Nothobranchius furzeri: one gene and its partners. The protein of the gene in region 1 interacts with the protein of each later gene in a biochemical or structural test. Links are inferred from orthologs where the notes say so. Each region holds a gene or a part of one and is shown in the gene's direction. Other genes may lie near its edges.

What was found. The genes of interacting proteins can lie anywhere in the genome.
Region 2: the proteins of ptpn1 (region 1) and bcar1 form a complex in vitro, tested with the Homo sapiens proteins (3 studies listed by BioGRID and IntAct, with this or other methods). The link is inferred for Nothobranchius furzeri from reciprocal best matches to the Homo sapiens genes PTPN1 and BCAR1.
Region 3: of the proteins of ptpn1 (region 1) and stat3, one has a biochemical effect on the other in vitro, tested with the Homo sapiens proteins (2 studies listed by BioGRID and IntAct). The link is inferred for Nothobranchius furzeri from reciprocal best matches to the Homo sapiens genes PTPN1 and STAT3.

Annotation. Positions count from the first base shown.
Region 1 is NC_091755.1:52,045,889-52,057,294, forward strand, and holds ptpn1 (tyrosine-protein phosphatase non-receptor type 1), read left to right. Parts: upstream 1-4,359; 5' UTR 4,360-4,575; coding exon 4,576-4,632; intron 4,633-5,147; coding exon 5,148-5,238; intron 5,239-5,779; coding exon 5,780-5,880; intron 5,881-6,369; coding exon 6,370-6,468; intron 6,469-6,566; coding exon 6,567-6,704; intron 6,705-7,267; coding exon 7,268-7,477; intron 7,478-7,579; coding exon 7,580-7,741; intron 7,742-7,828; coding exon 7,829-7,965; intron 7,966-10,160; coding exon 10,161-10,419; 3' UTR 10,420-10,539; downstream 10,540-11,406. Other genes in the region: kelch-like protein 12, read right to left, coding at 1,736-1,962, 2,429-2,486. UniProt on the Homo sapiens protein: Tyrosine-protein phosphatase which acts as a regulator of endoplasmic reticulum unfolded protein response. Mediates dephosphorylation of EIF2AK3/PERK; inactivating the protein kinase activity of EIF2AK3/PERK.
Region 2 is NC_091754.1:40,233,135-40,241,965, forward strand, and holds the start of bcar1 (breast cancer anti-estrogen resistance protein 1), read left to right. Parts: upstream 1-2,457; 5' UTR 2,458-3,059; coding exon 3,060-3,071; intron 3,072-8,831. UniProt on the Homo sapiens protein: Docking protein which plays a central coordinating role for tyrosine kinase-based signaling related to cell adhesion. Implicated in induction of cell migration and cell branching. Involved in the BCAR3-mediated inhibition of TGFB signaling.
Region 3 is NC_091745.1:6,842,158-6,850,978, reverse strand, and holds the start of stat3 (signal transducer and activator of transcription 3), read left to right. Parts: upstream 1-2,447; 5' UTR 2,448-2,588; intron 2,589-4,878; 5' UTR 4,879-4,994; intron 4,995-5,321; 5' UTR 5,322-5,395; coding exon 5,396-5,586; intron 5,587-8,821. UniProt on the Homo sapiens protein: Signal transducer and transcription activator that mediates cellular responses to interleukins, KITLG/SCF, LEP and other growth factors. Once activated, recruits coactivators, such as NCOA1 or MED1, to the promoter region of the target gene.

The DNA of each region.
Region 1 (11,406 bases):
GAGAGAAAAAAAACTCCAGATGCATTTTTCTGATTTTGTTCCCTTACAAGGATATTTATGCCCTGTAATTATATCGGCATTTAGAGGGGCAAAAGGGTTTCCGTTAAACAAACACTGTCTCTGAGGAGAGATCCATCCTGCAACAGTTAGTATGTTCAAATGTGTCTAGGAGGGATTTTTAGGTCCAGTGTTAGTCTGAACAATCCACCCACAAGCTGACAGCTCTGAAAACAAGTTATCAAACCTGCCAATAAAAGGCACGTCCTGAATGACACCCTGCAGCAGGATCTCTGATGATGCAGCATGATAAAGACTCGCTGCCTGAGTAGCTAGACTCCACCAGGACTGGTGTCTGATCCTGTCAGCAATCTTCATGAACGGAAGCTCACATCGCAGTCGAGTGGTTTGGGTCTCATCTCTGCTTTAGGTGACAGCAGATGATGTGGTTCTGTTAGCATCTTCAGGCTATGATCTTTAGCGTGCACTAGCATGCTTCACAGCTGGGGGCCGAGGGCTGGGATGAGAATCAGCTCCTCTAAGACCGATGTCATTGTTCTCAACCGTATAAAGGTGAAACACTCCCTCCAGGTTGGAGCAGAATAATTAAAGTATCTTGTTAACTAAGAGATGGATCCAAGTAAAACAGAATCTATTAACATCAGCTGGTAAAAACGTTTATAAATGGAGCAGCAAACAGTGTTTTCATTCAGTTAGATGCAATGGTTGCAAATGCAGCTTCATGAAAAGTTAAACACTTAGCATGGAAGCAGATAGCAGCTATTTTTAGGTCTGATGGGATTTCCTTCAGATCAAGAGTCGACTGTTCAGTTATCTGAAAAAGTGCTGTGCTCATTTTCTAATGATGACAACAACTTATTATCTAAAGAACGTAAGCTTTGTTTTCTCCAGATAAGATGAATACGATGAAAATGGGAGAAATTCCTGTGTTACGCCCGTTTTCTTCATTTAGTAGCATTGCTGTGACTCTTGGATGATTAAAACTTATTGATGTGCTGTTTACTTTTGAATCAGTTGCAAGCAAGACTGACCTGATTTCTGATGAAGTAGCCCTCTCTGGTTGTGAGTTAGAAATAACTGTCTTAACACATTGGAGCAAGCTGTTCCAGGTCAAAATGTCTACATATTTCAGCCTGTTATAGCAACAAAACAAGCTTTATCCCCAGTGAAAGCATTAAATAACAAAATAAACCATTATTAAAAGACCTGCAAATGAAACCATATTTGTAGGCCTGTCATTGTGCGGCTTCCAAACGTCCGAAGTTTTGTTTTGTTTGGCTCACACACAACGGTAAAATGTAGACTTCTGTTATTTACTCACTAAGTAAAAAGATCTGTTGGATTTGAAAGATCTCATGTCAGAATAACACATGGATGCTGAGGGTGCTGTTCTGCAGCATCTCTTACTTATGAAGCATGTTGGAAGTAAAACTAATATTATGTAAATATTAAATAAAGTCTCAAATGTTGGGATGAACTCATGTGTTCCTACAATACAACTGTACTTAACAGAACCTCTTCCTAAAATAAATTTAGGTTTTCTTTTTATTTCCCATCAAATGATTTGAAAAATTTGTTGTACATCCAGTATAAAATCCACACACATCCATTTAAGTTACAAGTAATAGTTAACCCAAACAGGGGAAATGCCCCCAAATTGTGAATATTTAAAAAAAAAACTGTTTTGTACATTTTAGTCCTGAAAAGAAAGTTCTACCTCACTGGTGAACATGGCACAAAAGTAGTCGCTGCAAGCAGCCAAGACGATCCGGTGAGCAGGAAAATCCGCGTTGTCCACCCTCAGAGTGATGTCGCAGAGTGTGTTACTCTTGCGGAGTGAATTCATTGCATTGAGGATGGATTTAGCATGGGAATTTGTCATGATGTCTTTGGGAGCCATGCTGTTTGGAGGATCCGTCATAGATCTCAAACTCCCACAGGAACCTAAAATAAATACATCAAGACAAATAAACGGAATTCTTGCAGACCACAATGCCATCTGGGAACAGGAACAGAGACAGGAAGCACCGGATTATTGGATTAATAATAATAATAAAAACTTTAGCATTGGCTCATTAGTTAAAGATTATTCAGGAACCATCATGACTACTGAAAAAACATTTTTGATGAATCTGTAGAAATCATTAGATGTGTGTGTATTGGTTTGTTGTTTTGTTTTGGAAGAAAAAAACAAGGAAAGACATCAAATAATGTCACATCTGTCAGTGGAAGAGTCCACAAACAGGTATTATCCATCCTTAGGTATTTAAAAGCTGATATGTTGATTAAAACCAGACAAAAAAAAAAAGAATAAAACAAACGTATTTGTCAAACAAAAACCCATGTTTGAAACTACAAGTACATTTAGTTAGAACCAGGATTTTTATTTGATCGTGGTGATGAAACTTACCGTGAAAAGATCCTAACACTTTTTCCACCACTGGGAGGCAATAACTATAGCTACACATGAGCTAAAAGCAGCACTGAACAACAGCTGACGGCTAACGCCAACGCCACACAACTTCAGAAAACAGCAGCTACAAAAGCGGCCTGTAGGCCAGAGGGAGACAAAACAAGAAGCGACACACACACAAGAACTTGGCAAGAATTTGCATTATACCTGCAGGGCAGAGTCAAAACGTCTAGCTAAGTTGTTTTGCTAACTAACTGTAGCAGCACCAAAGTCTCAGTTCAAACCGCCCTAATCCATCATGACCTCCGTCAGGTCACACCAACACACGGCCTCCGCGGGGACGGGTCTGTTCAAAATATCAAAATTATCTCATATTATGTCCCAGAACGATCTTTGAACACCAACAATTTAACGTTGACTAAACTGCAGTGGGTCACAGTAGCGCCACCAACAACATAGTTGGCAAGCAGATGTATCATATAATAGTTGGACACGAACTTTCAAACAAAAATCCAGAATTCACTTGTTCGTAGTAAAATGAATAGCCTTTAGTCTGTGGTTGTTGTTGCTGTTGTAGTATATGTTGTTACATGACTATATGTTGTTACATGACGTTGTTACCTGATGTTCAGACATGATGTTGTTACTTGATTTTGTTACATGATGTTACTTGATGTTGGTACCTGATGTTATTGCATGATGATAGTACATAATGTTGTTACCTGATGTTGTTACAAGATGTTGTATAATGTTGTTACTTAATGTCACCTGATGTTACCTGATGCTGGTACCTGATGATGTTACATGATGTTACGTGATGTTATTTGATGTTGTTACCTGATGATGTTACATTATGTTGTTACCTGATGTTGTTACTTGATGTTGTTACATGATGATGTTACATTATGTTGTTACCTGATGTTGTTACTTGATATTGTTACATGATGATGTTACCTGATGTTGTTACCAGATGTTGTTACATGATGATGTTACATTATGTTGTTACCAGATGTTGTTACATGATGTTATTATTTGATGTTGTTACTTAATGTTGTTACCTGATGTTGTTACCCGATGTTGTTACCGGATGTTGTTATATGGTGTAGTTACTTGATGTTGTTACTTGATGTTATTACCTGATGTTGTTACTCGATGTTGTTACCTGATGCAAAAACAAGGTAAAATAACACTTGCTGTGTTAAAAAGAACAGTAATGCAGTAGAAATGCAGAACAATTTAATAAAACAATGTCAAATGTTATGACATGTTACTCATTTCTATGCACAGTGTAGAAGTAAAATGCTATTTGTGACCAAAGTGCCATTTAAAAAGATGAACTCAAATGTCAACTCACTTGTGCAGTGGAAATATGAACTAGACAAAGACATGGACAGATATGTTTGCCACATCTGAAGGGGATAACCTAATATAAATTAATGGAAAGCTGACATAATTTGCTTCAAAAGTTTGTTTTCCCTGACAAAGTCTCAGTTATGGAAAACTTGAGACACAATTTTAATATTGTGACAGTTTTGGTTATCATTGGTTTTGATTTTATAATTCAGATTGTCATTTTGACAGAAATATTTACACTGACGTTCAAATTACTTTTTAAATGTAATTATATTAAATGTTAAAACAGCTTGCCAAATTCACCGGCAGCCGGGGCGATGACGTACACAGTGCGTGAGTGTGCGTGCGCGCTCCCCAAAGAGCGAGACGCGTTTTTTTCCCAGAAATATGATGCCTCCCGCGCGTCCTCGCCTGTTGGTCGCTGCTGTTTCAGAAATGGTGAGATGACGATTCTGTGTCAACAGACTTACTTTCCAGACTTGAAGAAGTGCTGTGAATCCTACACAGATATCTCACAGCAGCAAATTAAAACAAAACAAAACACATTGTGCTCTTTTTAGCCACCCAAGGACGACAGCTACACCGTGTAGGAGGAGCTAGCGGCGTGTTTCCGTTAAGAGTAGGCCGAGATGGCGATCTAAGCAGCCGCACTGAATGCGAGCTAACAGCGGCCGAAGATTGGGCAGCTACTACCGGAAACCGATTCACTACTAATTCTTTAATTACCGGGAAGCTGTGGTTCTTCGTTTTGGGCTGGGCGTAAAGAAAGAGTGGCAGCTGAACTGGAAGCAATGGAAGCCGAGTTCTTGGAAATCGATGAGAACGAGAGGTGGAGCGCCATTTACCAGGTAGGAACTATCGGCTGATCATCAAGGTGGAGACACGAACCGTAGGTGAAGCTGTCATTTTAGGCCTGCTCACAACGAGTCAGCAGATATATAAGGTATTAATAATAATCAATGTTTTTATTAGTCACCGGGACTTTTCTGGGTGTGTACAGCCTTGTTCTGATGTGTCTGTCCGGGTATAATACCTGCAACACTCGCTAGGACCCAGGAGTGGCCCGGATCTGTTCTGACTTTAATAAACCTTTATCAAGTGTCCATTAAAACGTTAATCACGTTTTAAAATGCTGTTTAATCACTACTCATGAGTAACTACTTTATTATGATAATTTTAAGTGTGTGTACATGTTTACCTGCATTAACAGTGTTAATAGTGTGATGTCTAGACTCTTTTTTTCTTCTGTTTTTCTAAAGAATTAAATTTAGGAAGTAAGGCCTACATGCACTCAGATCCACTTTCACAGTGTGTGAAACCTAAATCTGCTAAAATTTATTTGGTAAATTTTATTTTGTCTCAGGAGATTCGCCAGCAGTCCAGCGAGTGCGCATGCAATGATGCCAAACTGCCTGAAAACAAGACTCGAAACCGTTACAGGGATGTCAGCCCATGTGAGTTACACTTTGATCATCAGCAGACTCGTTTGTTGTTTTCTCTCGGTTATTATAACCATTCTTAAATTCAGGTAGATTGTGTATTTCCTATCATACCCATATAATAATTCAAAGGTGACAGATTGTAAATTGTTAGGATTGTCTCTTTGAAACTAATTTCTAAATTTTAAATAAGAAAACAACAGTAATTATACAAGTTAGAAAATGTAAAAATAGTTACTATCCACAGAACTAAATCCATCACAGTCCAGCAGCTGAGCTTTGCTGGTTTCCTCTTTTTCACACTGAATAAGCTATGCAAATTGTGCAGCTTGGGTTGCAAATACTTAGTTTTTATTATTCACATCTAACAAGATGTGAAAATGAGGAACCTGAAACTTTTGCCCACATTTACATCTCATATGAAGGATAGGTGGTTACCTCTGTTGTTAGTTTGCTCAATGACTCTTTTCTCATCAGTGTTGCGATGGTAGGGCTGTTCCTCCCCTTCTAAACAACAACAAGACATTTTTATCTGTCTTTTGTCCCCGCTCCTCAGTTGACCACAGCAGAATACACCTGCAGCTGGGTTCCAACGACTACATCAATGCCAGCCTGATAACTGTTGAAGAGGCTCAGAGAAATTATATTCTTACTCAGGTAAGCATCCTGAAGATTCACTGTCCTCTGTATGATTTTACATACAGACACACATCTACTGTATGTAACACGTCTTGGAGTTATGATGTCAACAAATGATTTGGAAAATGGAAGAATACCACAGTGAGAGCATATCCATGGGATTGATCAGTGAGGGAAAAACAGCAAATAGAAAAGCAAGAATATTAAGAGGAGTATATATCAGGCTTTCTATTTGAAAATGGTGGAAATGGGCCATCACTGCTTGTAGTTAAAATGCTGGATGTGGACTAAACTGTCACAACTGCACGTGTCACAAAATCAGAGGCAGTGGCTCGGGTCCAGCTGGAGCCGTGGTTCTGTATGTCTGTATCACAGTACGCTGGTAAAAACCTGGAGATTAGAACGTGGCTGGATCTGTTATTTATTCATCCCGTGCTAATATTGTTATCTAGTGATGCGAAGAAGAAAGTGTGATGTCTTTAAAGGAGTGGTTTATTCCCTGTTTAGGGACCCCTGCCGAGTACGTGTGGCCATTTCTGGGAGATGGTCTGGGAGCAGAGGACCCACGGTGTGGTGATGCTAAACCGGGTCATAGAGAAAGGATCTGTAAGCAGTCGTCTGTCCTTACCGAGACCTTTTAATGTGTCCATTACTCAGGAGTCACGCTACTCTTTTGTTTTCACATGACCTTTGTTTGGTTTTAGATTAAATGTGCTCAATACTGGCCGCAAAGAGAGGAGAAGGACGCCATCTTTGAAGACACCAACTTCAAGGTGACTCTCGTCTCGGAGGACATCAAATCTTACTACACAGTCCGACAGCTGGAGCTGGAAAACCTGTTGGTAAGTCCTCTCTGTTGAGCTGTCTGCCTGAGATAAGAGGTTATTTGACGCTGAGAGCCCGTGGGTCCTGAACACCTTCTGCCACTCGTGATTTAGTCATGAAGACAGAGAAAATATACACGGTGTCTTGTGCTTTAGAGCAAATTAGGAAGGATAAAAGCTAAAGAAGAATTTAACTATTACATCCACAATTTTTACAGAGCTAAATAGTTGTAACTCGTATTTTCAGTTTGGCAGGAATGTCAGGAGCTGGTCCTACGTCTCATCACTTCCTGGTTTTGATCTATAATTTTGCTGCTGAAGTTTGTGGAGCATGAACTGATTTGTTGACAGCACTGGACCTTTCTGAAAATCTGTGTTTAGTTGGGCTTTTCTAGCTGCTGAGGGGATTTGATGCTAACCTATAAAAGGAAGTTTTTTTCCCTAGTTTTTGCTTTAATGCTGATCTGAGCTGAAACATCAAGTGGAAGTTATTTTCATCTCGACTTGGCTTTGGTTTCCATCTGTGGTGCTGTGTTTGACGTGTGACGGTTTTATTTCTAACCCCAACCCTTTCCCTACAGACTCACGAGACGCGTGAGATTTTACATTTTCACTACACCACCTGGCCTGATTTCGGGGTACCAGAGTCTCCCGCCTCCTTCCTCAACTTTCTGTTCAAGGTGCGAGAGTCAGGCTGTCTGAACTCAGAGCATGGACCTGTGGTGGTCCACTGCAGCGCTGGTATCGGACGCTCTGGGACCTTCTGCCTTGTGGACACTTGCCTCTTGTTGGTTTGTATAATTTGTATAAACTCCAGCATGCAGTGAGACAATCACAAACAAAGCAGTCGCCTATCTGAGGAGAATCACTCTGACTGCTGTCTTTGTGTTCAGATGTCTCTTCGTAAGGACCCGTCATCGGTGCGTATTCGCGATGTGCTGCTGAAGATGCGGCAGTATCGAATGGGTTTGATCCAAACTGCGGATCAGCTTCGCTTCTCTTACCTGGCTGTCATCGAAGGTGCCAAGTACATCAAAGGAGATAAATCTCTCCAGGCAGGTTCTTCCTCTCCTCTTCGGAGCTTTTTATGACTGTGCATTCTGCTGAAGTCCTTTTAGTAAACAAGCTTTCTGCTTCTGAAGGAATCGTGGAAAGAGCTCTCTAACGAGGAAGATGATCCTCCGGAGTCCCCTCCCCCTCCCCCTCCTCCTCCGAGAGACCCTCACAATGGCAAAGTGCAGCCACCTTTTTTCCCTGATAAAGAAGAGGTCATCCTGAGGTGAGCATCCCAATCATCTGCGGGCTTATCTGAGCATTGGGGTGGGGGTGGTTCCTAATAGAGCTGCTCCGTGCTTCGATTGATAGTCAGCATCACAACGTAGGTATGTGATGTGATGGGGGGGCCTTCATCTGTTGGATCAGGTGAGATGTTGATCAAACGTTTGAAGCTACTATGAGGATGAAACGCATCAGGGGTCTATTATGTTGGACTGTAGACGTGACACTTGTTGTGGACTAACTAATATATTGGAGTCATTAATTTGACTCTTGGGGACGTAAAATCTTTTTATTCAAGATGGCTGTGTTCCGTCTGTGATGGGACGCTTCAGACGTTGAGCTGGACATTATTTAGCATTTCAAATCAAATCACTTTTATTGTCACGTCACACGTGCAGGTACACTGGTACAGTACATGCGAGTGAAATTCTTGTGTGCGAGTTTCACAGCAACAGTTGCAAAATACACATATTCTGTGTTATATAGCTAAAAGCGTTTATTGTGTCTACAGTTCTGATGGTATCATGCTGACAAAACAAACTCCGATTTGACAAGGAAGGATGTAATTTACCTCCCGTGGAACGTAAAAGGCTGACTGGTTATTCATCCAAAAAAGGGCAGGAGTGCAGCACGACTGAAAGTGCTATTTAAGTGATCTGTTGAAGGTTTCACTACTTTTCATTATCGCAAGAGTTGGAAAAGAATCACAATGTGATATTTTTTATTTATTTATTTTTGCCTATATGGTTCAACGCAAGCCTCTCCTCTCCTCTCCGGTTAGAAAAGAACATTTTTCCCACCATACTGAAACAGAAACGTGACTTTTAGCACAACATTTTTCTAAAAAAAAAAGTGTATTTATATAGCGCCAAATCACAACAACAATCGTCTCAAGGCACTTCACAAGGTAAAATTGGGTTCAGTTCATAATGGCAATTAGGCTTGGGTGTTATCCAAATTTCAATATCGTTAAGCTTCCTCTACGTGTTACCACAGTGTACGGTATTTCCATGAGTAATTAAAAATTATGACCTAAAACTCAAGTGGCATTAACAAAGTGTTGGCTTGGACTGTAACAGTTCAGAAACTGAATCTCAACACTATTGCCACCAAAAAAAACAAACATATTAAGCATAATGTTAACATTTTAATTAAAAAAATGCTGCTCATTATAATATTTTTCGCCAGAAAAACCTGCACGTTTACTTTTCCAGATTCAACATTGCACCTTCTGTACCAACAACTTTGCCTGGGGTGCTGAAAACCTGCTCCGATGGTGCGCTTGTGGCACAGACACAGGCTTTTGGGCCAGTCACAACTTCTGGGGAAGAAACTAGCAGCATATTTCTACCAGAAAAGTGAATAATAGGCTCCAAACCGGCTGTTATTTTAGCTCTCTAGAGTTCATCTGCGGTGCTGACGGGACCTGCATCTCTTGCTGTCACCTCTTTATTGCACGAGGAACACTCTTTGACAGGGAAACGTGGATTGACGGAACACCGGCTCTCCTTTATCGTTTGCTTGGAATCCAAAATACTTCCAACAGCAGAAGTTGTGTTTATTTTTGACACCGAGTCAGTAGGTGCACGACCTGCCATCTCTCTCCCTGTCTCTCTTAAGGTGCGTCTCTCTCTCTCTCCTCCGCGCTGTCACATGATGACGTCATGTTCATAAACTTTACGGAATGTCTCCAAAAGTCGACTATAACATATTAAACAATTTAACTAAAAATGAAAATTCAACAACACGTCAGTTTTACACATCAAATATTTTTTTTATATTTAGTCCTTATCTCCTAAATGCACTACATTTTGTTCATGACGTATTAACACTGATAGTGTTGCTCTTTTTAAACACCAGCTGTATACAGTAATACCATAGTACCACCAAAGTCTAATGCCGTTTAAAGTTTCCTATATAAGGGAACCCAGCGGATTGCATCGTCACTGACTTTACAACAATCCTCATGCTAAGCAAGCATGTAGCGACGGTGGAGAGGAAAACTCCCTGTAACAGGAAGAAACCTCAACAGAACCTGGCTCAGGATGAGCAGCCATCCACCGCAACTCACTAGCTTACACATCCATATCAATGTTTGCTTTAAACTTTATTCTTTGTGTAAAACGACTTGATGGATGCATCCATTAAACTCCAAACCTAACTGGGAGACATCCATCTGTCTTTTTCCTCATTCAGGGAAGACCTGCGACAGAGGATCTTAACCGCTGCAAGGCCTCCTTCTGATAGGGCTGGTCAGCCGGACCGGCATGTGGGAATACCTCATTCCACAGCTCCCAACACATCCCAGCAGGAGGAGGATGAGCCGAAGGCAGCGGAGCAGCCAAAGGAAAGCTCTCCTGTGCCGGGGACCTGGTCCCCTTTCCTAGTCAACGTGTGTCTCTGCACAGCGGTGACCCTCAGTGCTTACATTTTTTATCGAGCCTATTTCCACTGATGTCTCTTTCCTCTTCCTGATTGTTTTTGTTCTGTGTCACAAAGTGGACTTGGCTGCCTCACCAGCCTGCTCTGACTCTGTCAGTGAGCTTTTGTTCTATTCAGGTTGACCTGTTGTTATTTTTATAGCTGCAGCAGGAGGAGCTGCCACTAATTACCCAAACGTCGTTTCTGTACGCCATCACAGACGCTCAGGACCTCAGTTCTTCAGGTGCCACAACCCAAACGTGCGTGTGTGTCTATGTGTGTGTCTGTCAAGTACATCAGACTGCGGCTGTTGGGAGGGGTTGTCTCCAAGCTGCTGGTCTGGGAACCAGGATGAGAACCCTGTCTGCCCGTTTTATATGCATCTTATTTACCAAAATGACAATTTTGAATGTGACTTTCTGTTTTCTTTTTCATTAAGATTTAACTTTTTGTTTTATTTTTTAGCCCACTTGCTAACACAGATGGGTCTGAAATGTTCAGTCCTGATTTTTGACAAGCCAGTCAGAAAACACGCCAGTAGGGGGGGGGGGGGTTAAAGCGGAGTGTGTATAGAAATAAAAAAGTGAATTCATGCTCACTGATTGCATGCAGATGTGGGCTTGGAACTGTGATCTGTCCACACTAGTCGCCTCTGATTGGCCGGTTGAGTGTGTCTTCTGTGTATCTGTACATTTGTGTATCTGTGCGCGCGCCTGTTCAACCTGCTCCATGTCTCGTTAACAGGAAGTAAAATGTGAGATGTGGACAGAGCGGCGTCCTCTTCGTTTCCCTCTCTGGTGGCTCAAGGTGTGAAACTAAATTGTGCAGGGGGTGGGGTGGGGTGGGGAATCACCTTGCCAGTGTTGTCTGCCAGCAATAAAGTCAGTTTGAAGCATCTGAGTGAGATGTGGAGTGTGGGACCAGGGACTGAACAAACCAAAAATCAAATACCAGCACAGGGACGATGACGATACACTGTACTGATTGTGACCCTGAGCTGGCAGTATTCTTTTGTATGATT
Region 2 (8,831 bases), on another chromosome or scaffold:
GCAGCTGGCTCCTCTCCACCCTCCCGGATGACTGAGCTTCTCACCCTATCTCTAAGGGAGATCCCAGCCATTCTGCAGAGAAAACTCGTTTCAGCCGCTCGTATCCGTGATCTCGTTCTTCGGTCACTGCCCAAATGTGACAAGGTGGAGAAACGAGGGTCACGGGGGGGATTCGATCCCCAGACTCCTGGGTGAGAGTCACGTGCACTTACCAGTCAGCCAGAGGGATGTCCCCTTGGCCAAGTAGCCAGGGCGCATGATCAGTTGGGACACTGACAGGACGCTCACACTGCCACACAAAGCTTGTGACCACAGGTGAGGGTAGGAATGTAGATGGACCAGTAAATCGAGAGCTTTGCCTTCTCTCTTCACCACGACAGACCGGTACAACGCCTGCATCACTGCAGATGCAGCACCAATCCACCTATCCATCTCACGCTCCAGCTTTCCCTCACTCGTGAACAAGACCCAAACATACTTAAACTTCCACTTGGAGCAGGACCTCATCCCTGACCCGGAGAAGGCATTCTACCCGTTTCCGAATCAAGACTGGAAACCTAATCACTTTAAACATGACTTGGTGTGTTCCATCAACAGGTTCAATAAAGTAATGAAAGACATTGATATTTCACTTAAGGGATCTTTATACATTCTTCGTATACAAAACCATCTTTAATAAATTCGGGAGGTGGATTTGTGGGCAAGAACTTTAACGATACATTTTTAATGACGTACTTTATCAGGTCACAGTTACACGTGTTTCCAATGATGTGGTCAGACCAACTGTGTAGGTTAAAGTTCAGAGTTCACCAGTGGCTCATCTGTCCAGAGAGGCAGATGAGGAAGAGTCCATGTGATTGGTGATGGCCTAGAAGGAAGGGGAGGAGGATTCTCCATTATGTCGTTCATGGGACATCAGGACAGAGGTCATCCCAGTCTGAGCAGATGGTCTGTGGGCAGCATCATCAGGGAGAAGAGCACAGGTAAGTTTTTCTCGCTGTATAGCATGTATCATACTAACTGTAAGTGATGTAACCGCCATCAATGTGTTTGGTCCCTTTTCTACAGTTGAAAGACGACCAAATGATGTTGGAAGGACTTGTCTTTTCTCCCAACAAGAGGCATCGTTGTTGACACCATCGTTCAAAATAATGAAATCCAGCAGAGAGATTAAAGATGGAGCCAACTTTGATGGAAGAAGAAAGTTTGTATCGAGCTTTTCTAGATAAAAACTACAAGGCACTTCACAAGAAAATAAAATAAATGAAAAAAAATTAAATATATATTGTTATATAATAAAAATGGGAGAAATGGGAAACAGTTCAGAAAAATGTGAATAAAAAAGAAAATGTCATCACAGGAACATGAAAAAGAACTGACAAACACCAGCATGAAGAGAAACTAGTGAAGATTCAGCAGAAGGTGACATTAAAACCAGCCTGGACAGGTGAGTTTTCAGCTGCTTTTTAAAGGAGACCACTGAGTCCACTGATCTCAGGGGGAGAGAGGTCCAGAGTCTGGGGGCCGCAGCAGCAAATGATCTGTCACCTTTGGTCTTTAGCCTGGTGCTGCACAACCAGTAGGCTTTGATCACTGGACCTCAGGGACCTGCTGGGGGTGTAGGGACTAAGAAGATCACCAATGTAAGATGGTGCTTGTCCATGTAAGGCCCTATAGACCAGAACCAGGATCTTGAAATGAACCCTGAAGTTGACTGGCAGCCAGTGAAGCTGGAGGAGAAGCAGGGAGATGGGGGTGTGTTTGGAGGACTTGGTCAGAAGCCGAGCACAGGCATTCTGAACCACCTGTAGACGGTTCAGGGAGGTTCTGCTCAGACACGTGAAAAGAGAGTTACAGTAGTCTAAGCGTGAGGAGATGAAGGTGTGGAGAAGTCTCAAGTTCAGAATGGGACTCAGCTTAGCAATGTTCCTGAGATGGAAGAAGAAGAGCGAAAAAGAGAACTGGCATGAGAATCCAGGGTGAGAACTGGGTCAAAGGTCATGCCAAGATTCCTGACAGAGAGTTTGGTGTGAGAAGCAAGCTGACCAAGAGAGTCTCTGACTTTGGGAACCAGCTTGTTTGGGGCACAGATGAGGATCTCAGTCTTATCTTCATTCAGCTGTAGAAAGCTCCCAGCCATCCAGGTTTTGATAGAGTCTAAGCAGGTGTGTAACAGCTGCAGCTTAGACATCTCATGGGGCTTAAAGGAGATGTACAGTTGGATGTCATCTGCGTAAAGATGGTAGGAGACTCCTTTGAAGGAGCTCAGGATGTGCTGAAAAAGAAGCAGACAGAGGATAATTGGAAGGAGGAAATCATAAAAGCAGCAGGAATGAAGGAATGCAAGAGACTGTTTACTGGTTTTGCTGGGAGCACTGGTGTTTATAAAGTCCAACATCTGCTGGGAGGATGGACCTAGGATGCAGCAGTTTGGCACTGAAGGAGCTTCCAGCTCCACACCAGCTTCATGCATGGGATGGAGGACACTGTCCAACAGTGATGTTATTTTCACTAGAGTCCTCTCTCCCACCCCCAGCTGGGTCAAGGGGACATGCTAGGACAGAACTTCTTAATCAGCTTCCCGTCTCTCAGTAGCCCCAAACCACACAAAGATGGTGGATGGGAGGGGGGCTCGGGCCCTTTAAGCGGACAGGATCCAGCCTGTGGTGGGCGGACGGTAGCAGCCAGCTGTGCTCCACCCGCTCCGCTCGGCCTCCAGCCGCAGCTGCTTCATGCTCCAGCTGTTATAGCCGCGCGTCCGTGGGGGGTGAGTCCGAGGCAGAGTGACTTGAGGGAGGACCGAGAACCGTCAAGTCTGCGGGTCATACGGACGATCGCATTACCGCTGCTGCAGATCTGCGCCTCTGAGGCGCATTTTTACGCAGCAGTCCAGCTGGACTGAGACAAATCCCGACCTCTTCCTCCCGCTGGGAGCTTTCCTTTCCTACCAGGAGTCTTTTCCATGGAATCCACGAACGGCTGACGCCAGCGCAGCTGTGCATAAAACCCGCTAGAGACGCAACTGGCAGGAAAAGGCGCAATAGGACAGCTGCAGCAAAATGTCTATCCCTGTAAGTATGTCAGACGCATGTTGGTGTTCCCAGTCGTTGCTCCGGTGTTCCATGTTAATGGTTGTAACAGCCTGGGCCCGGGCCGCCCGGTTCCATAGCACTACAGTAATTAAGATGTTATCATGTGAGCCCACACATATTACTGTAACACGGTGTGTGATATGTGCTGGTGGTGACATGTTACTCTTTGTCTTTGGCCTACATGAAGCTCCAGCGGGTTTAAAGGAGCAGCCCGCCCCTTCCGGGAGGCTGTTTGCATGAAGGCCAATGTCAGCCAGGGTCTGGTGGCTTCATTCCAGCAGACCTGGCCAGTCAGCTCAGCAGAGCAGCTGATAGCACTGTGTGTGTGTGTGCAGGTGTGCGTGCGTGTGTGTGTGTTTGTGTGTGTGTGCAGGTGTGCGTGTGTGTGGAATAAGGCATTTGCTCGAGCTTGTTGAGTTATTTTCCATCAAATTCCAAAGGATCTGTTTCACAAACACTGCCTAAGGATCTCTCTCTCCCTCTCTCTCTCTCTCTCTCTCTCTCTCTCCTCTCTAACTGAACTGATGCTTCATTTTGTTGGGGACGACAAAATCCTACTGGCACTTTAATATAAAGTTATTAGACGATCTTACCTTTTGCAACATTTTTAAGCTGTTCTGGGAGGCTTTGCGGTCCAAAAGAATGATTTTAAGACCATCAGTGAATGGTGGGAACAAGGGAAGGCACAAATTAGAGTTTTCTGTCAACATTACACGCGGGGGTCTACAAACCAAATAAGAAAGACTATGGCAGATCTAGAGAAGGACATCAGGGTGCTAGACTACTACTCAACAACAGCACACCTTAGACCAAAAAAAGACAGCAGCTTGGGCATTTCCTGCAAGAGAGGGCCAAAGGCGCCTTGATCTGGGCTCGTCTCACCACAATACAGGACATGGATGCTCTGACATCCTTCTTTTTTAACCTGGAAAAGACTTCAAACCAGAAAAAACAAATGGCTGGCCTGCGTCTGTCAGATGGACAGTTATCCACAGACCCAGTGGAGATGAGGAAGCATGCAGTAGAATTCTATACCAGCCTATTTAAGGCCGCCCCATGTGATGTGAACTGTGCCAGAGAGCTGTTGCAGGGGCTTCCTTCCTTGACCACAGTAGACCAGGGAATCTTAAATGCAGACATAACCATGGAGGAACTTACAACGGCAGTCTCCCAGATGGCTGCAGGTAAATCTGCGGGGATGAACAGCTTACCCGCTGACTTCTACAAATTCTTCTGGAGCAGTATTGGACAGGACCTGATGGATGTTTTTAGAGACTCACTTCAGACAGGAGCACTTCCTGCATCGTGTAGTTGGGGCGTTCTGTCCCTGCTGCCGAAAAAAGGGGACTTAACCCAACTAAAAACCTGGGGACCAGTTTCCTTGTTGTGTTCAGACTATAAGATTTTTTCTAAGTTCCTATCTAATAGACTTCGGGGATTCATCAGAGGTCTAATCCCAGACGATCAGTCCTTCTGTATACCAGGAAAGTCATTAATGGACAATTTATTTTTAATGAGAGATGTGTTTGATGTTTGTAAAATGTATGATGTAAACGCAGGTATCATTTCTATTGATCAGGAAAAGGCGTTTGATAGGGTTGATCATGAGATCCTGTTCTCTACGCTACAGGCCTTTGGTGTTGGGGGGTCCTTCCTGGAAGGGATTAAGATGCTGTCATGTCATGTCAGCTGTATGGTGAAGGTAGCGGGGGGCCTGAGCCAACCCACCAGTTCTAAGAGGAATCAGACAGGTTGTCCCATCTCAGGACAACTGTATATTTTAGCCATTGAACAGCTGCTGTGTCGGCTGAGGAACAGGCTGAAAGGTGTACACCTACCTTTACCTGACTCCAGTCCTCCCTTAGTTGTGTCTGCTTATGCAGATGATGTGAATGTTTTCATCCATGATCAGCAGGATGTACAAGAACTCAGATCTAGTTTACGTTTACATGAGAAAGCATCCTCAGCTAAGGTTAACTGGGACAAGAGTGAGGCATGTGTAGTGGGGGGTGGGACCTTGGTGATGTCCCGCCTCTGCCAGAAGGGTTGAGGTGGGGAACGGGAGGTATTAAAACACTAGGCATGTACTTGGGTAGGGAAAGGTTTCAGAAACAGAACTGGGAGAAGGTGCTGGAGAAGGTGGAGGCGCGGTTGTCTAAATGGAAATGGCTGCTCCCTCAGCTGTCCTACAGGGGCAGGGTTCTGATAGCAAACAACCTCGTCGCCTCGTTTCTGTGGCAGAGACTGATTGTACTGGTTCCACCACCCCGTCTGCTGGAAGGTGTTCAGAAGCTGTTGGTGAAATTCTTCTGGTCTGGTCACCACTGGATCAGAGCTTCGGCTCTTTGCCTACCCGTGTCAGAGGGAGGACAAGGACTAATAGACGTGGTGTCTAGAACTGCAGCCTTCAGGTTACAGACAGCTCAGAAGCTTTGTTATGGTGACGGACTCCGCTGGCTCCCCCTGGCTCATCTCCTGCTGCAGAAGGTTGGTGGGCTTGGGCTGAACAAACACCTGTTCCTGTTGAATCGGAAGGTGTTGGATCTGACAAGGATTAGTCCGTTCTACTCATCAGTGCTGGACACCTTTAAGCTGCTGGCGGTTTCCCGAGCACCTGACACGGGACCAGGGACATGGTTGCTACAAGAACCCTTGTTTGACAATGACTTCTTCTCTCAAGCTGGCATTTTAACTTCGTCTTCGTTGAAAGTGAAGTTCACCGATGCTGGGATTGTAAAGTTTGGCCACTTACTGAAGATCCCGGCTGGAACCCTTGGTGAGCGGGTTGATGTGAGGTCCACCAGAGTGATGGAGAGAGTGGTGGAGGAGGTACGGAGGTCCTTGTCTGTGTCGCAGAGAGCCTTCGTTGAGACTTGTACTCTATCTGACCAATGGGATGATGACAGTGAGTACGTTTTTCCATCTCTGGAGGTTAAAGCAGCTGGTGAGGGATGGCAGGAGGAGAGTGGATTACTGCTGAACCTGAACTCTCCAGTGTTGGGCTCCTTCCAGTCTTGTGGGAAGAAACAGATCTATCACACTTGTGTGAAGGTTATCAATAGGCGCTCCTTGTTAGGAGTCAAGGAGTTGAGGTGGACTCAGGTGTTTGCTGCGGACCGTGCCCCTGGGGGCAGCTGGAGGACTTTGTATAAGTCTCCAGTGGAAAAAAGGGATGGCAGACCTCCAGTGGAGGATCATACATGGAGCTTTAGCTACGAACAGACACAGAGCCCACTTTGATCCAAGCACCGGGGAGGGATGTCCTTTTTGTAACCAAACAGAGACCCTAGAGCATCTAGTGGTAGCATGTTCTAGGTTATCAGGGATGTTCAGGGTTTTAGAACGGTGGGTTAGTGCACTGGGGGAGGCTTTTACCCTTCCGTTATTTGTTTTCGGGCCCAAGTACAGTGTCAGAAAAAACGGACAAAATTGTTAATTAACTTTTTATTTGCATGTGCAAAACTAGCCATCTGGAAAACCAGGAAAAACCAGATGCTGGGACAGAGCTGGACTGATGCTGAGCGGAGCCTGAAGGGCCTGGTGGAAGCTCGCTTGAAGATCGAACACGCTTTTTATGAACTTACTGGGAACCTGGACTCCTTTAGAGCGGTGTGGGGGATCGGGCAGGTGCTCTGTCTGCTGGATGGACAGGGCTCCCTAAAGATCAACTTCTAAACTGGGTTTCTCAGTTTTCCTGGTTTTATTAGTGGAAAACAAGTTTCAGTCATTAACACTGATTGTTGATCTGTAAAGAAATTTAAATAATTTAAAAGTCAAAGTCTCTCTCTCCTCTCTCTCTCTCTCTCTCTCTCTCTCTCTCTCTCTCTCTCTCTGTCTGTCTCTCTTTGTCTGTCTGTCTGTCTGTCTCTCTCTCTCTGTCTGTCTGTCTCTATGTCTCTCTCTCTCTGGTCCCCCCCCCCCCCCCCCCCCCCCAGTTCAAGCCATAACTAACACTCACATATTCAGCAACAGAACACCACTGTCAGGTTGGGCTTAAGGTTGTTGACCTAAGACGTGATGAACCAGTCACAACACGAGATAAATCAAATAACATTTACTAAAGGACAACTTATGGAGTGCCACCGACTTGGGGCGAGGAATGCTGAGGCTCTGGCTCCAGAAGAGTGACTCGCTGGGCTGAGGAAATATGTTGCTAAGGCTTACAGTTCTGTAGATGGTCTTGAGCTCGAGAGGGGAAGAGGTCCAGTCCAAGGCAGTGGTTGTAGGTAGAGCTTGTGCAGGAAGGGGCACTCGAGGCTGGTTCTAGATTTCCAGACAGGATGAGTGGTGGAACGCTGGAAGGTCTGGTTGCAGGGTTTGAGTGTGGATCAGGGAGGTTATCGTTGATCTGTTGGTGATGGTTGGAATACCTGGAGAGTAAAGAGAGGTTAGGGAAGTCGAACGATTCTTAGGTCATTTCAAAAAGGTGGCAGGTGACTCTCAGCTTGGTGGCACCAAAAGCGAGTTATCATCCGGTGACCTGTGTATTGTTATTAAGACTCTGGTTCCTCAAATAGCCAGACCCGGTGATTGGCAAACTGGCAGCTGGGCCCGCTCTCCCACCTGCAATCAAGCACTCCCAAGCCGTTTTTACAAAACAATGCCATTATTTGCTGCAACGCCGTGGCGGCATCAGGGAGCTTTATGTTGTTTATAAGTGGTCAGTGGCCATAACTGTGGCGGTACAGTTGTGCAATCATGTCCTTTTTACTAGCATTATGCAATGGTGGTATAAAGGGGGTATGGGGCGATCTCTGCGCTGCCGCGGACTTCCGTTTATCTTGGACATAACTTGATTTTTTTTTATTACGATTGAAGTCGTGCTCGTTAAGTCTTTTAACAAGCAGCTCCTAAAGGTGTCTGATCACCACTCCCTGTGCAGTCTCTGGTGATCTTAGTTCCAGCTCTAATGGAAAGAAGCTCCTGGAGAGCTGCATTGCTTCAGTTTAACATCTCAGCTGGTTCTGTTTACAGAAGGGGAATTCACGGCTCGTATTTACTTTCATTTTCTATTTATTTTCCAGCCGGAGCTGGGCAATAACTCCCCATGTGATCGGGACACCTCCCTCTGACACCTCAATCACCGTTTATAAGACAGACAATTACAGCAATATTACTACCAAGCAAGGCAGAACGAATGCCGCAACATTAGTGCAACGCTATGCTGGCATGGCGCGTTCATAAGACACGCTGTTGCGGTAATATTATGCAGATTTTCCGGCAGTGTGTGTCTTTTAAAAAGGGCTGTAGAGGTTAGGTGGTAACCACTCACCTCAGACTGTGACAACTACTGGTGTTTGAGGTTCTTCACTCAATAATAGCAGAAGAGAAACAGCCGGCTGCTACCATTTCAACTTCACGACAAACTACCAGAGTCCCAAAAAGAAAAATACTATTTGAAGTCACGGAGAACTAAAGACGTTTGGACCTGGTGTTTAGTGCTCTCTTGGTCCTCTGGCAATGTGGGTTTCCGGATCCAGGAGAAGCATCTCAGTGAAAATATCCGAGGGGAGGGGCGAGCGTTCTGTGACTGCATTCAACACCTAGCTTGTTTGCAGATTCACCATAACAGCTTTAGAGTTGGAATATGGAATATTTTATATAAAAAATACTCCATGGGGCATTCAGAGATGTTCAGAATAAAAGTATAGTATAGTTTCTCACCTGTAGACGGTTCAGGGAGGTTTTGCTCATTTACTCTGAACATGGTGCTAGAACGTGTCAGCAGTGAACCAACAT
Region 3 (8,821 bases), on another chromosome or scaffold:
TGTCTATGAGGAAAATGCAACATAAATAGATTTAATATTTAACACATTTTAATTATTTTTCTCCTGTGTGTCCAGAGCATTCATATAAAGCCAAAGGAAAGTGTAAAGAGGCTGAAAAGAAGGGTTTCATGCAACAAACATGTGAAACACAGAGAAAGAGCGGGTTTATTTGGGTGGAAAGACAAGAAAACAACCATTCTAATTAACAGCCAAGGGCGTCAGTTTGTTTTCAGAATTGCTGGGGACAATAACCATACACTTGAGTGGGGTTTAAAAATTGCTGGGGACAATAAAGGCAGGCTTTTTTGAAAGTGGGGGGACACAGCTGCCAATCACAAATTTTGCCGGGGACAAGTCCCCGGCGTCCCCGGTTAAAATGACGCCTATGTTAACAGCGTGTTTACTACTGCTATTAAAATGCTGTACCAAGTTTTGAACCACAATATTGCACATTTTTAAAATTAAATGTCAATTTTACAGACAATGGCAACTAACTATTTAAATCTAATAAGTGAATTAGACAATTAACCACAGATAAAACCACAACAACTAAAATACCACCGTGTGTTTTATTCCACCACTGGAAATAAGTGTGTTTTAGCTTTTTAAAAACCAGTACTCGTCCATGTCTTGGGGTTTCCAATCAGTTACTTACAATTAATTTATCAAGTAAATGAATCTGTCTGAGGCTGTAACAGAATATGTAATGTTTTCTGTTGTGTGTCTTAATGTTAAGTGCTTGAAAATGTGGATGTAACCATAACTGTGTTGTTGTCGTTCACATTCAAAAATGGTCTTTTGATGCATCTATATACAGTATGAGCTCACCAGCATGCATTCAAGTCACTTCTACAGAGAAAAGAAGAACATCTGTCACCATGGTCACAGCTCGTCACAGTACATGTGCACATCCTTGATAAAAATGTTCAATATAATTGCTTACAAAAAGAGAATGGCCTGAAGAGGAGAAGGCAGTTAAATGACTGCCAGAGTAAAACATGTGAAAATGCATCTACTATCTTAAATCCAGTTTAGTGGACACAGCCAATCGTTGGGGTTTTAGGATTATCATGGGACTAATATCAACAGCAATGTAACTGTACAGCAACCTGCAGTGATAATGAAACGAATGTCGCTACTGGTTTAACCAAACGTCTCTGCATATAAATTATAAAATCAAACTGTTTTTTCTTGTCAGATAAAGAGCAAAACATAATGGGAGGATACATCTCTTACGGTAATCTATTCTGAATGTGAAGTCAACTGCCTGTGGCAGCGTTCAACCTTTGTCACATTAGATCATGAGAGGAAACCGTGCAAGGCTCCAGACAGAAACAAGAGGAGTGCTTCTGTTTCTTCCTCCCTGCAGACTTCTATGACCTTGATGTGTTTGCAGGCACCCAGAAGCATTGTGGCAGAGGAAACACCACCCAAATAATCAATGGATGGGGAAATGCAATTAAGGAAAGTGTTTACTCTCTCTCTCTCTCTCTCTCTCTCTCTCTCTCTCTCTCTCTCTCTCTCTCTCTGTGAAAGCTAAGCAGTGAGAAAGACAAAAGAAAGCATGCGTGTGATCGTGTTACAAGTCTATGCAAACTATTACAACACACCAAGGGGAATTGTTATCTTTACATAAAAATAAATTATATGCTTGTAAGATTATCATTTTTATTTTATAGCTTTATCTTTGTGTTGATTTTTGACAGATATATAAACGATCTCCCATTACCTAAATGTGTTTTTGCAGCGGTGTAATTCAGTTTTCTTTTCTTTTCACTGTTGCATCTGTAAGTGGCGTATGGCCTTGATGTCACTGACTGTACCTGCCAGACTCAAGGTGTTTTGGCCAAACAGGTTCAATATTAATAAACGCTTATTACATAATCCACCAGTTTAAGGTTTGTTGACTGTTTTATCTATCTATAAATCCATTTATCCACACGTGTGTCATTTATAAATATTATTTTAAATAAACTTAGTTTGATTACGTTTGGACACTTGTATTAATTATTTTTGTCCCGTTAGGATTAACACTAAACTGCAGATGTGTTATTAGACTCGGTGACGTCAGCATTGCCAGTAACTCAGATGACTTCCAGGCTGGCTCTTCTTTTCAAACGCCTTTCCTCCCTCCGTAACAGCCGAACATGCTGTTCTTTGAACGGAAAACCCCGAGGAGGGAGGACTAAGAGGAACAGCCCAGTTGCGACAGCAGTAAACATAGCACTCAACCAAACATGCTGTTACGCCGCGCATCTTTTCGTCACACATCTGCTCTGATTTGGTTAACAGAAATTTCTATATTGCTATTTGCCACTTGGAATGTCAATCAACAACAGAAGCGCGTTTGATTGGCTGAAAAGACTTGCAGAGCGGCTGATGGGTTGGGCTACTGGCTCTAGGGTTGAAGAAGTGTTTCTCGTGTTGTTAAGGGAAGAGTAAAGGTTGGCATCTTTTGTGAGTGTTTTCTCTCGTTTATGTGGGTTTACCGTTTTAGAAGAAATTAAGTGTTGCCTTCAGTGTACTTTTAGTTAACAGTTTTCGGGTTTTTGTCGGAGAATCTTTCCAAAGACGTGACAACGACTCGGGTAAGCGACTGCATTCAAACTAACTTACTCCATCTTTATTTGTGAATGTTTTTTTTATGTAAACCCGTTATCAGTTTATATTTACTAATGGCCATGATATAAAAGGCTTGGCCAGCTGAACGCTGCTAAACGCCTATTTGTGCTGGTCATAAGTTATTCTGTGTGCAGAAACATTGTGTTCCGCTATGGCATATAGCAAAGTTATTATTGCCTTACTGCTTTTAATTAATTATTTCCGATATAAAATATTACAGCTAAGACGTTCAGTCTTGAATAGTTGTTTTTTTTTCTTTTGTTGTTGTTGTTTACTTTCAATAATGTGTTTTGGCTCAATTTATCAGTAATTTCGATCTGTTGGTAAAACAAAACAAAAAAAAATTAAAAAAACAGTAAAAGAGAGAAAGAGCATCTTCCAGGATATGAATATGACCCCATAAAATTCCAGGCCAGTGTTTGTTATAAGCCGTCGTTGTTGTCACGCTCATCTTCACCCCATCATGTGCAGAGCTGCATAACAGGATCAGATCCATGATCACTTTCAAAATTAAAAGAAAAGAAAAGTGTAGTATTGACTAATGACACTTACTATTTTAGTTTGATGATGTTACAACTGAAAAAGAAAACCCATTATGATCATCATTATTATTGTGTCCAATAACCCGCAAGTGTCCTGCCTGTTAACTGTCAGTAAAATGACAAACTTGGCATGATTGCTTCTTTTTTTTTTTTTGTGGAGAGCTCTACTTCCTGGAATGTGGCTTGTCTGTTTTAAGGAATCTCATTGTGCATTACCGTAAGTGGTAAATGCTCACTGACAAAACACACCTAACAAGATTAGAATTTTTTTTTTATGAGTCATGTTGAATATTGAAGTCCTACTCTGCCCGTCTGGAGTGTGAAAATACTCATATGATGGGATACTGACAAAATTAGGCCAAATCATTGTCTGTGTGTAGCTTTGTGTAACATGAGCATCTTCAAAAGGTTCCTATCATGTATCATGTGAAATGTGTGTGACCTCAGCAAAAGGTCTTTGTAAAATATCCACCAAACAAAGGGCACAGTCCTGGGACTCACCAGTGCATCAGTTTACAGAAAATTTTGGCTGTTTTTACCTTCTTAGCTAAACAAAAGAAGTAAATAATCAAGCACTACTGTGTCTCCTCTGTGACTGTAGACACTGAATAATTGATTATACAGCCAGGACCCTCCCCAAACATAATTAAATCATCAAAAACATGAGAGAGATAACTCCAGTAGCATTTATTCTTTTTGGATAGCAGGTAAGAAGGTAGGGCGTTTGTTCAAAATTTTCTAAATAAAGCAGTACCATTGATTTGACCATGGGCAATCCTCTTGTGATGTCACGTTTGTTGGGGTTTCACTTCCTCAGCAATTCTCACCATGTGTTAGCATCATTTTCATATACCAGTGAAAGAGGAGCATGTGTGATGTGAACTTATATAAGGTGACACAAATGCTTAAAAAACACCTTTTTAGCTCAGTTCTTATTTTATTACAGCGTATTAACTACTGTATCAAAACATGTTTGAATTTCAGCGTATTAAAGGATAAAATGAAAGCTTATGAAACACTGTTTTTCCATTGACCTTTAAATTTGGCAGAAACAGGTGATGCTGATATCCATCCATCCATCCATTGTCTGAACCCGCTTTGTCCACATATGGTCTCGGGGGGGGGGGGGGGGGGGGGGGGGGGGGGGGGGGGGTGTCAATGAGCAATCAGGCGGGGTACACCCTGGACAGAGAGCCAGTCCATCGCAGGGTGATGCTGATATCGCTGACCTTATTCTTTTTAGCTTTTACAAAGGAGTCACGCCTAAATGTAGAATAGCCTCCCTTCATATTCCAAGTCACGTGGCCTAATGTACACAGATTTACGATGAAACTATTAATCGTGTGTGCTGTCAGATAAGACCTACATAATGCTGATGTTTTGGGTGTTTTGAATGGAATAAATTATTAAATGTTTCTGTTTCTTTTAAATATGCTGAATCATGAAAGATTTTGACAGAATATTAAGTCCCAAGTTTTATCGTTTACAATTTTATCAACACTTACGGCTGTTTTATTTAGTGGATCGCATCATGAAACCAAACAGAAGGGCTGTTACACTAGCTCTGCTTTAGCTTGTGTATACAAATACTGCCAAGCTCATTGTACAAGTTAAGATTGTGTGCTTCACCAGAGTTTAGGTGATACCGTAACATTATCCTTGTAATGTAAGCATTAAACAAAAGCTTTGCTTTGGTATTTAATTTCCATGACAGGGAAGACGGCTCTGCTGGATTCACTGAATACCTTTTTTGTCGGTGTGCAGAAGACAGTAATCCTCCAGGGACCCATGCAACCTCATTTTGGTCAGATAAAAGCCTTGTGTAACAAGGTAAATGAAAGATCTGATCTGAAGTTGCATTATAATTCTAAGAAATGCAATGTGAAGTTAATCATTAAAGACAGGAATGGTTCTGTAGTTTCTGATCCATGTGCTCTGTCGCTGACAGCTGAGGAAAGGAAGTGTGTTTTTTTCTTCATTGTTTCTAGTAAGCCTTTATACAAAAAACATTGGTTGAGATTATTAACTTCTCTCTACTTCGAGAGCTGACAGCTGTTCAGGACGTCCTGTATTTCTTGGCGGAAGTCTAGCGTTTCAGCAAGCAGGAAGTGACGAGAATGAATAGGAGGCTTCACATTTTCCTGACTTTGTTTTCAGGGTAAACGCGACAGTTGGCTGTTTCCTGCTGGTAAACGTGAGGGAAGTTCTGTTAAGGCATTTAAAAACACTTAATGCATCTTGTATGTGCATTCTGCTCTGCTCTGCATTTTCTCTTAGAAACTGCGTGTGTCAGGATGGCCCAGTGGAACCAGTTACAGCAGCTGGAGACCAGGTATTTGGAGCAACTATACCACCTGTATAGTGACAGCTTCCCTATGGAGCTACGGCAGTTCCTCGCCCCCTGGATTGAGAGTCAGGACTGGTGAGAAATAACTAAATTAAAGCCTTTGTGTTTGTTTTTAAATGGTAGCTAAAATTTAAACCAAATTTTCATTGTTAGTGGATATAGACTGCTTGGGGCGTGTAATGTAGCTTATCAAAATGCCTGTGCCATCTCTGACCTGCTTTCCTATGTAAGTCAGTATGATTTAATTCTTTATCAATTCCCTTATGAATTCCAGGGTAGTTCCAAAGGTGGCAAAAAACTAATAGCACACGGCCTCCTGTGTTATAACTGACGGTTTATTTATGATAAATAATCAGTTGTACCTGTATCAGTTAGAAATGTCTTTCCAAATGTTCTCCTTAATGCTTTCTGTGGAGGCAACGTCATCATCTTGTTTGGTGCAGTGTTGCTGGAGCATATGCCGAGTGGGAAAAATCTCACTACAGGTCAGACCTTTGTCGCTGGAGTCTGCTAGTGTGGAGTTGTGTGTGTGTGTGTGTGTGTGTGTGTGTGTGTATAAGCAGGGTTTTTCTTGCATTCAAATTTGCGTGGCGGCCGCCTCCAGCTAATTGTGTGCTGCCTCAGCCTGATTTCTCTCTGCCCCCAGCTATATACCGTAAATCCTCTAATACAGGCCCGGGCCTGTATTTGACTCAAGCTCATCAAGCTCCAGGGCTTTATTGGAAGGAGGGCCAGAATTAGAGGCAGGCTTCAATTTCTATTTGAGCAAAATGAACTAATGGTTCGCTGGAGTTTTTGACAATTAAAATTGCGCCCACATTTTCAAAGTTAAACACATTTCTTTTAACAACGGTAGTTTCTGCTTCAGCCCTCTCCCCCCTCCCCCTGCGCAGCGGCCGCAAACTCACTGATGCACCTGCAGCCTCTCAGAGTTCCTGCTGCTCTAAACATTAAAATAATTATTTCATTTTCTGTTCCTCACTTCTGATTACCTTCAATGGTGTCTGTTTGTTGCAACCACCAGGTACAAAAACTAACTTGTTTTTATTTGACTATTTTTCTGTCCTGCCTGCTTATTATCTTCTTGCATCTCCTCTCAATCCTAAAGAAAAACTGCTACCTGGGTTCATATATATTCACCTTATGAGTTACCTTTGAACTGCAGTTCTAAAAGATCTACCGACCGCAAAAACAGCGGAGTTCTCGCTGCTCGCCGGCCACATCAGTTAGGTGCGTCACCGAGGACAAAACAGGTGATGTGCCCCGCTCCACAGCAGCGAAACGCATCAGGCACAAATAAAAGACAGAAAACATAAAAGGATATGAGCCAACATGAACGATCGCGTGTTAAATTAGTTTTTGAGGTGGTGACACCTGATTTGATAATGTTACTGTGGCCGTGCTCAGGACGCAGATGTCTGGAGCGTGTCAACAATCAGAGCTTTGCATGCACAAGCTGGTTAAGGTTAGGATGGGGTGAGGGGAAGGTTAAATTGCAAGAGGGTAAACGTCGCAATTTGGTTAAATGTCCGTTTTACGGTGGGTGTCAGTACCGACTCTCTGGCACAGCACGTTGCCTCCCGACGAGCAGGAGCTTGTCCCCTGCTGACAGCAGGCTGCTGTCTTTTCCGAGGGCTGCATCTTGCCGGTCATTATCATGTGACAGCGACTAGTCGATGACAGGCATAACAAGTCACTATAGAGTGGTGAAGTTGACTAGTGACTAGTTCATACAACCCCTGCTACTGCTCCCCAGAGTGTTCTGCAGCATAATCAGCACGTTCTCTTTGAACTTGATATCAAATTTTCGCCTCCTCTTCGTCTCCGCACGGTTAAAGTTTCCCTCGCGGTCTATCACTGGCAAATCAAAAGTGAGACGGATGACACAACCGGCCCCGTACTTGCTTGTTACCACATTCCACCCGGCCACAATAAAAACCGGCCATTATTCACCTCCGCTGACTCAGACACCGGCCAAAATATAATAATTTAATTAAATACAGGCTAATATTAGAGGATTTACGGTAGATGTTATTTTAACTGCAGTTGCAGCGTTGCGCCACTACCCGTGCGCTGTATCGGCAGCGGTGCACCAAAAAGCCCTAAAACCGCTGCAGACAAAGATCAAAAATGGCTTTTCTCGCTAGTTACATATCTATGGTTGGTGCTATTGACGTCCTGATCTTCCCCCAGGCTCTTCCATATCAGAGCAGGGCTGTACAGTGCCACGAAAACAACTGTCTGTGCGTGTCTTGTCTATTTGTAAACGTAGCACTGGTGCAACATCTTTGAATTACTATTTTCCCCAGAACATCATTGAACAAAAGTAAGTTACGTGTAAGAAAAATGCTTTTTACTGGCACACAGTGTGGTAATCTGGATGCAGTGGAGGAAAATGAAGGAACCAGCAAAGGCAGAACCGGTCCAAAGTCTGGGATCAAAAGTGCAGCTACACGCAGATTGGCTATTGCTAAAGCTAAAGGGTAGCAGTCTCACGATCAAGTGGTGCACAGAAAAATATATGATGATGGTAAAACTAAGAAAGACAACTCTACAAGCGGATGAAAAGTCCCCACCGTCCTGTTTATTCTGCATCCTGCAGCGCTACGGATCAGAACCGCTGCAGATACGAGTAATTTCCCTCTGGGATTAATAAAGTATCTTTGATTTGATTACTGCTGGCGCAGGAAGTACGGCAAGCCGTTGTAGTATATAATTCACAAACGCCTCTATCTCTGAACATAATTTAAACTGGATTGTTGCCAACCCGTACATAATAGACATGCCACCATTACATTGTTAGCAACAGAAATTCAATTCAATTCAAAAATACTTTATTAATCCCAGAGGGAAATTGATTATGTAATGTTATTACCATTTCCAATACAAATGCATGTTAATGAAATTCATTATATTTTTATGTGTTATTTTGACTAAGATGAGTGTTATTAATACAAATCTAAAATGTTACTGAAATGTAGTTCAAATATTTAAAAATATTTTAACTCTAAATATCAGATGGGAAAAATTGAACTAAACACTAATCTAATGCATAATATTGAGCCTTTTATAATAAGAGTCTGAGCTGCATGGTGGCGCAGTGGTTAGCACTGTTGCCTCGCAGCACGAAGGTTGCAGGTTCGAAACTCGGCTGCGGCCTTTCTGCGTGGAGTTGCGTGTTCTCCTCATGCATGCGTGGGTTTCCTCCGGGTACTCCGGTTTCCCCCACAGATCACAACATGCCCTGTAGGTTATAAATTGTAAGTCGCTTTGGATAAAAGCATCTGCCAAATAAATAAACATAAACATA